Linked DNA regions of Callithrix jacchus. The protein of the gene in region 2 interacts with the protein of the main gene of each other region in a pairwise test. Links are inferred from orthologs where the notes say so. Each region holds a gene or a part of one and is shown on either strand. Other genes may lie near its edges.

The links.
Region 1: the proteins of ERBB4 (region 2) and CFL1 interact in a protein complementation assay, tested with the Homo sapiens proteins (2 studies listed by BioGRID and IntAct, with this or other methods). The link is inferred for Callithrix jacchus from reciprocal best matches to the Homo sapiens genes ERBB4 and CFL1.

The regions. Positions count from the first base shown.
Region 1 is NC_133511.1:122,933,883-122,938,204, forward strand, and holds the start of CFL1 (cofilin-1), read right to left. Parts: upstream 2,846-4,322; 5' UTR 2,602-2,845; coding exon 2,590-2,601; intron 2,319-2,589; exon of another isoform or gene 1,497-2,318; coding exon of another isoform or gene 1,494-1,496; exon of another isoform or gene 1-1,493. Other genes in the region: structure-specific endonuclease subunit MUS81, read left to right, coding at 4,058-4,192, 4,277-4,322.
Region 2 is NC_133507.1:134,244,743-134,249,001, forward strand, and holds the start of ERBB4 (receptor tyrosine-protein kinase erbB-4), read right to left. Parts: upstream 2,968-4,259; 5' UTR 2,355-2,967; coding exon 2,273-2,354; intron 1-2,272. UniProt on the Homo sapiens protein: Tyrosine-protein kinase that plays an essential role as cell surface receptor for neuregulins and EGF family members and regulates development of the heart, the central nervous system and the mammary gland, gene transcription, cell proliferation, differentiation, migration and apoptosis.

The DNA.
Region 1 (4,322 bases), on a different chromosome or scaffold from region 2:
GTCGAACTTCGCAGATAGAAGGACCCAAACACCCGAAGCAAGACTCCTCTTCAGAAAGAGCCGAGACCCCACAATGCTAAATCGGACCCAAGGGCATTGAACAGTTCCAACAAATCCACCAGAACTGCTTAACGCAGTTATTACACAAACGACGCCTGTTCCCTGCGAGGGTCTTTTTCAACCAAAACAAGAATCACAACCCCCACTAAAGACCCTGCCTGACAACTTTCTTCTGGGAATGGGCCCCAGAAGTTGCTGGTAGAAACTGACATGCCAAACTCAAGTGCCCAGAGGCCTCGAGAGCTCTTTAAACTCCTACTCTGCACGGTGCTTCGGGGTGCCCGAGACAGGAGACGGAGGGACTGACCACGGTAAATCTGCTCCCTCGAACTCCCCGGAACTGCAGATAAACTGGCCACGTGACCCAACCGCTTCCGGAGTGGGCGGGGAAAGGAGATCAGCTAGGCTCGGCGGCCCCCTCCCCAGTAGAGAAACGCGTACCCTAAAGGCAGCAGCACCTCCAGGTCCCTAACCCTGTGGAATCGCCTTAACCAACGGGCATATCAGACCCATCTGCTGCAGGCAGGAGCCTGGGCAAGCTACATAACCTTCGGTTTTCTCAGCCCTATGGCCGTATGCAGGGGGCGGGATGGTTTCCGGGCGGTGCCCGCCTGGGTCACTTCCCTAAACTCGGCTCCACCCTCAGGCCCATCCGGGAAGGCCCCGCTCGCCCAGAGCTTCGACACCGGCGGCCGGGCCTGAGAGTGCGCGCACGCGCCGACGGACAGCGCCGTTCCAGCCCTCGCACGATGCAAGGGTGAGAACGCAGCTCGATGGGGTGCGCTCCAGAGCCGGCCACGGTCTCTGGGATGCCCCCTCCAAGCCTTGCGGTGCAAGGCCCTAATCGCAGACACCCATGCCCCAACCAGAACTCTGTTGTCCCAGCATCCCCCCTCGCCGCGACAGCGCTCGCCCCTCCCCGGCGCAGGCATCTCTGCCACCTGCTACCGAGACGGACCCGGCTGCCGAGGGAGGGTGACGCGGAGACAAGAACAGCCTTGGGTGGGGCGCGCGCGCAGAGACCTCTCGCGCGCTTTTCCCTCACCGCCCCCGGGCCGGGTTTGGACGCCGCGTGCTCCAGTCGAGAGCGCGCCCCTAAGAAACAACGCACGACGCAGGCCGTTCAGCGAGGGGCGCGCCGGCGCGCGACCCAGACCCCTCCCCCCGCGGCCGCTGTCCATCAGCGCGGGCACACCAGCGGGTGGGGGAGGGGAGAGGAGCCCAGGGAGCGCGCGAGCGACGTCCAGGCCGGCCCTCCCCGGCGCCCCCGGGCGCGCACGCGCATTCCGGTACTGCCCGCTCCTCCGTGCGAGACCCTCATCCCGCCCGGGGCGCTGGGGGAGGGGGTGCCGGACATCGCTCCCCCGCCGCCTCCCGAGCGCAGGCGACCGACCCGCAGCCTCCTCCCTCGGGCGCCGTGGCCTGCCGCTCACCATGTTTCCGGAAGCGAAAAGAAGAGGGCACGGAAAGCCACAGAAGAAGAGAGTGCTGCAGCCGCTGCCGGGACCCGACTGAACGCGGCCTCTCCCGGCCCCTTCCGTTTAGTAGGAGCCGCACAATGAGGGGCGGGGCGGGCTTCCGGTGCTCCCTCCGCGGGCCGACGGGAAATGGAGTCCGGCGGCCCTGCTCCGCCGCCGCGCTCGCTGGGTAACGGAGTCTTCCCGCGGGTCGGCCCCGCGCCGCAGTGCATGCGGGGAAATGTAGGCCCGGGCCGCGGGCAGGGCCGCAGCGCGCAGCGCGAGCCTATTGGTCCAATTTAACAGGAACTGCTCTGAGTCCTGCGAGGCGGCGCTCAGTAAAATGACCCGAAAACGATCCCGGATTAAGCGGCTTTTTATCCCGAAGCAACACGGCTTTCTTAAGACCCATCTGATATTATCTGGCTTCCTTGTTCTGAAATTTTTGAGTAAAGTTAGGGTTTTGCTTTTCTGAATTGAATCCCGTCCTAAAGCAAAGAAAATCACAAGTATGAAGACGTTGTCAGGCCGACAAACACTAGTACTCTGCATGTGCAAAGCCACTTTCGTCTTCTGATAAAAGGCCATGTGCAACGTCAGTAAAATAAAAATAGGAGAAAAAGGCACAGGGGAAAGGCTGCAAGGAAATCTCTGAGAGCTTTGTTCTTCTTTAAAGATGTTTGGCAAAGTCATGAGGCGATAAAGGGTAAAGACGAGGAATGAATTGTACATTCAAGGCCTCGTTACGTGCCTTTTACGTGCCAGTGAAAAGGAACAGATATTAAACCAGACTTGAACCCAGCTCTCGAGTTTATAGCCAGGCATATGGCTCTTCCAACACCTGTAAAAACTGAGACAAGTTCTGTGGTAGTATATTCCTTAAAAAAAAGAAACGAGCGGGGGACTCCGGGATGATTTTGTTGTCCTATAACAGTGCCACAGCCTCACGCCCAGGAAGAGAAGACTGTGTCGCAAACAAGTAAGAGTCAAACCCAGAAATGGACCTGGGGGCCTTAAACCCGTAAACGGAATTAAGGTTGTAAACGGAGAGCGATGCTTGGAAGTGGGGTACCTTGCAGAGCATGCCGGGGGTTGTAGTCGGGGACGTTCCACAGCACCGCTCTCCACTCCGGGCTCGCAGCGCTCCAGGTGAAGGCTGCAGCTTGACCCCCGCCTCCCGCGAGTGCCCCTGCCTGAAGACGAGGCTAGCGCCACCTTTTTTGAGTCTTAGAGTTTCCAAGAGCAACGAGGAGGGGGACGGGGCTTCGCAGTTTCCCTGGAGACGCGCTCCTGCCCGCCCCTAGCCGCGAGATGCCCTAGATGTCCTTATTAGGACAAGAGACTCGAGGGGGGCGGGGCCAGCCCGACAGCCGGCTTCAGGCTCCTTATAAGGCCGCGCCGGTAGGGAGGTGGGAGCCGGAGCCGGCTGGCGGAGTCCGGAGGGGCGGGCCTCGAGCTCTGGCGCCCACCTCTCTTCCTCGCAGGCTAGAGACCTGCGTCTCGCGACTTCCGGCATAACAACTAGAGGCCGGGTGTTGCTTCAATCCCTGGCAAGTAGCCTGTGTCCAACTCAGCTATACTAGTCCTTCAGGAGTGAGGTTGAAACCCTTTGTAGGGTTTCCATTTGCAACCTCCTTGAGGGTCTCCCACATCCGATTGGCCACAAAAACGACGAAGTGTTCTGCCGTCTACCTGTGTTTGGTCGTCTTAACCCGCGGCCTGCTCCACCCGCCCCCGAACCCAACCACGTGCCCACCTCAGGTCTCCCCAACTGCCAAGGTGCCCAGGCACCTCTTAATTTACAGTTCTTCCACTAGGCCTCTGGCCCCCAACCCCCCAGGTCCTATTTTGGGCCTTCTCGGCACGTCCCCGACTTTCTCCCCACCACACTCTTTGCCCTGTATCCTGGGGATGAGGGCCACCATTTCCTCCAGGGATGCTGCAGCTCCTCCTGCCTTACCTTTGTGGCCTCATCCCCGGCGCTCCTTTCTGGGTGTCCCTCCCACCAGTATGTTTGCACCCGTTTGTTTCCCGGCCCCTGCCTCTTCGGGACTCTTCCTCAAGCCCAGTCTCCATCTCCAGCCTCCTCTTCAAACTTGAGGCGGAAACTGACAATCTTAGAGACCTTAGAGCGGCCAAGTTCATGTTGGGCCGTTAAGCACCGCCCAGCCAGTCCTCCCCCGTCACAGGGGGCGCTGTCCGTTTTCCTCTAACCTACACAAAGATGACCCCGCTCTCGAATCTGAGGTGACTGGAAGGAGCAGGTCCAGGTTCCGGGGACTGGGGCGGGGTGCGTCCCAAAGGCTGGTCCTGGCCGGAGCGGGGCCGAGGCGAAATATTGTTAGAGACAGCGCCGCGCACCAACCACTTAGAGCAGCGCAGGTTCTCTCGTTAGTGCCCCTTGCGTAAGGGGGCCCGTGATCTCAGCGGTCCTGCCCTCAGCTTCCCTCTTCTGCCGCCCCGCCCCCGACCAGGTGTTCGAATCCCGACTCCGGAACTGGCGGCGTCCCAGTCCCGCCGGAGGACCCGCCTTCGGGCTCATGGCTGCGCCAGTCCGCCTGGGTCGGAAGCGCCCGCTGCCTGCCTGTCCCAACCCGCTCTTCGTTCGCTGGCTGACCGAGTGGCGGGACGAGGCGACCCGCAGCGGACGCCGCACGCGCTTCGTGTTTCAGAAGGTGGGTCTTTGCGCGGACCGATGGGAACAGCTGCTGGCCAGGTCAGGCCTGCCCTGACCAGTTACCCTACCCCTGCCCCGCCAGGCGCTGCGCTCCCTCCGGCGGTACCCACTGCCGCTGCGCAGCGGGA
Region 2 (4,259 bases):
CATAGCCACAAACACACAGAGCCTCACTCACACCCCAGACAGTAACTTGCTTTTATAATAACACTACATTAAAACCAGCTGAACTTACCCTGCCAGGTGCGGCAGGGTGGGGGTGGGAGCGGATGAAAAAAGAAGTCTCCCGGGGCATTTACAGTTTCCACTGGATCACCTTAGTATGCGTGTTGCAATTATACCAGGGATGCACCCGAGAGCTTTTCTTTGTGCGGCCCTTTCATCTGGATCACTTTGTGTTTTGAACAAGTGAGACTCGCCTTTGTGCCCCCAGAATTTCAAGTACAGAGTCACACATGGAACAACAATGGCACGCTAATCCTCGCGCTCTAAATGGGCTCACTTGTGGGTCTGACAATTCGCCCAGGGAAACGAGAAGAGAGGAGCGAGACGCTAGCTGGTGTCGCCTGAGCCGAGGAAGAGGACAGCTGCAGAACTAATTTGGATTACATTCCTTGCTGAAATTCTGAAAAGGGCTTTTCGGCATAGCTCAACCCGGAGCCGCACAGTTAATACCAAATTGCTGCGGACTCGGAGCGGGGTCCCCCAATGGCAGAGGCTGAACCAGACAGTCCCCAGTAGGTCGCCTCGTAGAAATTCCTCTCGGTTAAGCCTGCATGTCGGTCGCCACTGCCTTTGAATGGGTCAATGTGCATAATCAACCCATTGAGGGGAAATATGAAGGGACTCGAAGTGGGGAGGGAGATAAAAAGAGATGTATCTAAGAGGCCGCTTGGAATGTCAAGTCCGTGTTGGTATGATTCCGGAGGTGGCTGGAGCGCGGGACCTGGTATGCATGAAGAATTTCGGAGTAATTGGGAGGGTGCAAACCGCCAGCACAAACGCCGCACATGTGCCATTCGAAGGTCATTTTGAAAGGCTCGATGATTGTAACTTGTTATTTACTAGGCAAAGGAGGAGGAGGTGGCGGCGGCGGCGGGGGCGGAGCGGGAAAACTACAGCTTGCTGTTTTCTTGGTGAGGTCAGGATACCCTACAGGGGCCTAAAGCTCTCCCTATCGCCACTCCCGGGGGCTTTATCACCTCGAGCTACCTCCCACGCTCCAGTCACCAGCCCCGGATGGTTTCGGAAATCTCCCTGGCTCTCCAAAAGCCACCCCTTGGCCGCGTCAGACAGCGGTCCTCCTCAGACCTCTCCTGTCCCACTTTCATCCCAAGAAACTCAAGTGTCAGAAACTTTGAGCTCCCTTGCACTGCAGGTGCTGTCATTAGTCCTGCACGCCGTGGTGCGCCAGCCCCGCCGCGCTGTCTCTCGGGGTCAATGAGCCCTTTGCCTGCCCAGGTACCTGGGGTTCGAGCTCTCTAGCAAGCAGTGGCCGTGCACCCAGCACCGCCGCCGCCGCTGCTCGCGCCTGGGGTGGATCCGGTGACCCGCAGGCTGGGCAGCACCGCGGGGCAGTAAACAGACAAGTTTGAAGGACTCCGGCCAACAGCAAGTAGAACTACAGGAAGAACTCTTCCCGGAGCCAAACACGGCAACCGACGGGAAGGCCGGGCTTCTGGCTCGAGTGTGCCAACCCTTTTTTTCCCCCTTTTTTCTTTTTCTTTTTTCAAGGTCAGGCAGGCCAGCAAGCGCCCCTGAAGTCATTGGGGCAAGGGCTCCGGGAAGCTGGCAGAGGAGGCCCGGCGCTCCGGTCCCCGGGCCGAAGAGGGCCAGCCCGCTGCACTTCGGCTGCCCCGGCTGGGCGCTAGTCGCGTCTGACCCTACAAGGCTCGGGTGACTGGGGCGCAGAGGCCGCCGGCAGCACACACAGGTGCGCAGCCCGACTCTCGGAGCGCCACTCTCCACCTCCCTTCAGGCTGGGTTCGGGAGAGGCCCAGCCAACACCGCCCTGGGACTCCAGCCCTTCCGCGGCCCCGGTGGAGCGGCTTCTTCCCTCGAGAGCCCAGAGTGGGACAGGAGAGTCTCCTCTGACTGGGGATTTCCGTCTCCCATGTCCCGAACAACAGGCGCCACCATAAGGGATCCCGCTTAGGCTCCACACAAAATGCTCGGGAGAGAAACATAGGGGGTTACGGAGAGAAAAAAAAGGGACAGGGGCTGAGAATGATTTTTGCGGTAAACAAAGCTCGCGCACACATACAGGGTAAGTTTCGAGTGGAAAGAGGGGCGACCGAGAGCCCCCGGTCAAGCGGTCCCTGCACGCCTCCCGGGATGGGTGAAGAGGGCAGGGGAGCCACTCGAGGCAGCCCCTCCGGCGGCGGCAGGTTTGGCAACCGGAGCGCCAGAAGGAACCCACCTGACTGAGAAGCGCTGGGCTGGACGGTCCCTGCCACCACGAGAAGGCTCACCCAGACCCAAAGTCCTGTCGCCGGCTTCATTTTTTGGAAGTCTCAGATCCCGTGCTGACAGTTACATGTCCAAATGGCATATCCCCCTTTCGGGCACGCGGAGGAGATCCCACAGCCGGGCGCGCGTGGGGGCGCGAGGGGGGCGGGCGCGGCGCGCGCGGTGTAGCAACTCCCAGGGCGGGCGACAGAGTCCACGCCGGCAGGTCCAGGGCCGGGGCCCGAGGAGGGGGCGAGTGTGCGTTCGAGTGTGAGCGCCTGTGTGCGCGTGGCGCTCCGGGCCGGACTGTGCAGCTATTTCCCCGCGTGAGCCTTCACTTGCTCGCTCCCTTCTCACTTTCTCTCTCTCTCTCTCTCTCACTGGTTGGTCAACAATAAAAAAGGAAGAGGGGGAGAAAGGTTTCCAAAAAAAGTTGATTGCAAAGAGGCGGTAGGTTTCCGGCCTCTCCCCACAGCAGGGCTATGTTGGGCTGCTTCTTCAGTTTCCGTGCACCTTCAGTCCAAATCGGGAGGGGAGCGGGGCGGGGGGAGGTTCTCGCTTCTCCCCGGATCCCGTTCTTCTTTTTCCTGTCAGCTTTCCTCACACTTGTCCGGCGGCTGCAGTAATTAAAGCTCTGAGCGTCATTTCCAACGCTCCGCGGTCTCCAGCTGCAGCCCCACAGAGAAATTAATAAGACTCCAGAAAAAAAAAAAAAAAAAAAGGTGGGGGGCGGTGGGAATAAAACAACCCTCCAAGCAACCAGGCAGGCTCTGCTCAGCCGCTCAAACCCCGCCCATGCTCTGACCCAACTAGCCACGCCCTTCCCCCCCCCCAAAAGGGAAATCTTATTGGCTCAGCCACTCCCCAAAATCCTAGGGCCTCCGGAGTTGGGAAAACACCTGTCAGGGAGAGGGAGCCGCGTGGTGGGGGCAGGGGAAGCTGGATTTAAAGGGCTCATCCGAAGCCACGCACTGAAGCACTCCTCTTCCCGCCCTGGCAGAGGCCGGGGACAGCTGGCCTGCGAAGTGAACAGACCATCGGAGGGGCGCTTACGGAAAAAAATTTTTTTTTTTTTTTTAAACAAGAAGGCAGCGTTTTTTCCATTGCCCCCCAATGCTCCTCTACAGACAGGACTTTCTCTAGAAATAAAAGGAAACTCAATGTTGCTTTCAGCAAAAAGCTTCCTCCTGCAGCACTCTGCCACTCATGGTCCACAATTAGAAAGTAGTGTGATCAGGAAGTAACTGGTAGCCCCTGCGGTTAGGTAGTTGTGGGTGTATAATCACCAATCACCACCCTGGCTCCAGCCCCAGTTATGCCATCTCTCTGGTTCTTCCCACATTTCCAAACTGACCATCATTGAGCCAAACTAAAATTTCACATTTATAAACCCTTATCCTTTGATTTTTAGATTTTGTGGGTTTTTCACCTTTGGAGTTCATTCTTATTAAGCAGATTCTTGTCCAAAGCCACTGATTTGATCCTAAAGGGCTAGAAATTGTCTCAAGCCTGAGAGAATTTAAGGACACATCAGAACATTATTAACCTTAAATGATTCTGTTTATTCTATAGTAGACCTAGCTTTAGGCCTCTTCCTTGTCCACACTCTGCATTCAGGCTCCCCAGTCCTGAGGCCATTGCTAGTTATGAGCATCTCTGACCTTTTCTGAATCTAAATATTCTGGGACTGGGTCATTTCAATGTACATATCCCTTGCCTTTTACAGCTATGAAACTGCACCCTGGCAAGGGCCAGAATCTCCTGGGGGTAGTAGGTTATTGGTTTGCTATTTGTACAGGCATTCTATGTATGAATTACTTTCCGTTTTTGGTTTTTCTAGAAGCAGCAAATATATAAATAAAAAGTATCAGGGGAGCTTAAAAATCAAACCACCCTGCTTTTCATTAGAGATCTTGATCTCTGTTTCCCACTCTCTTATCTATAGCCCCATCCCTCAA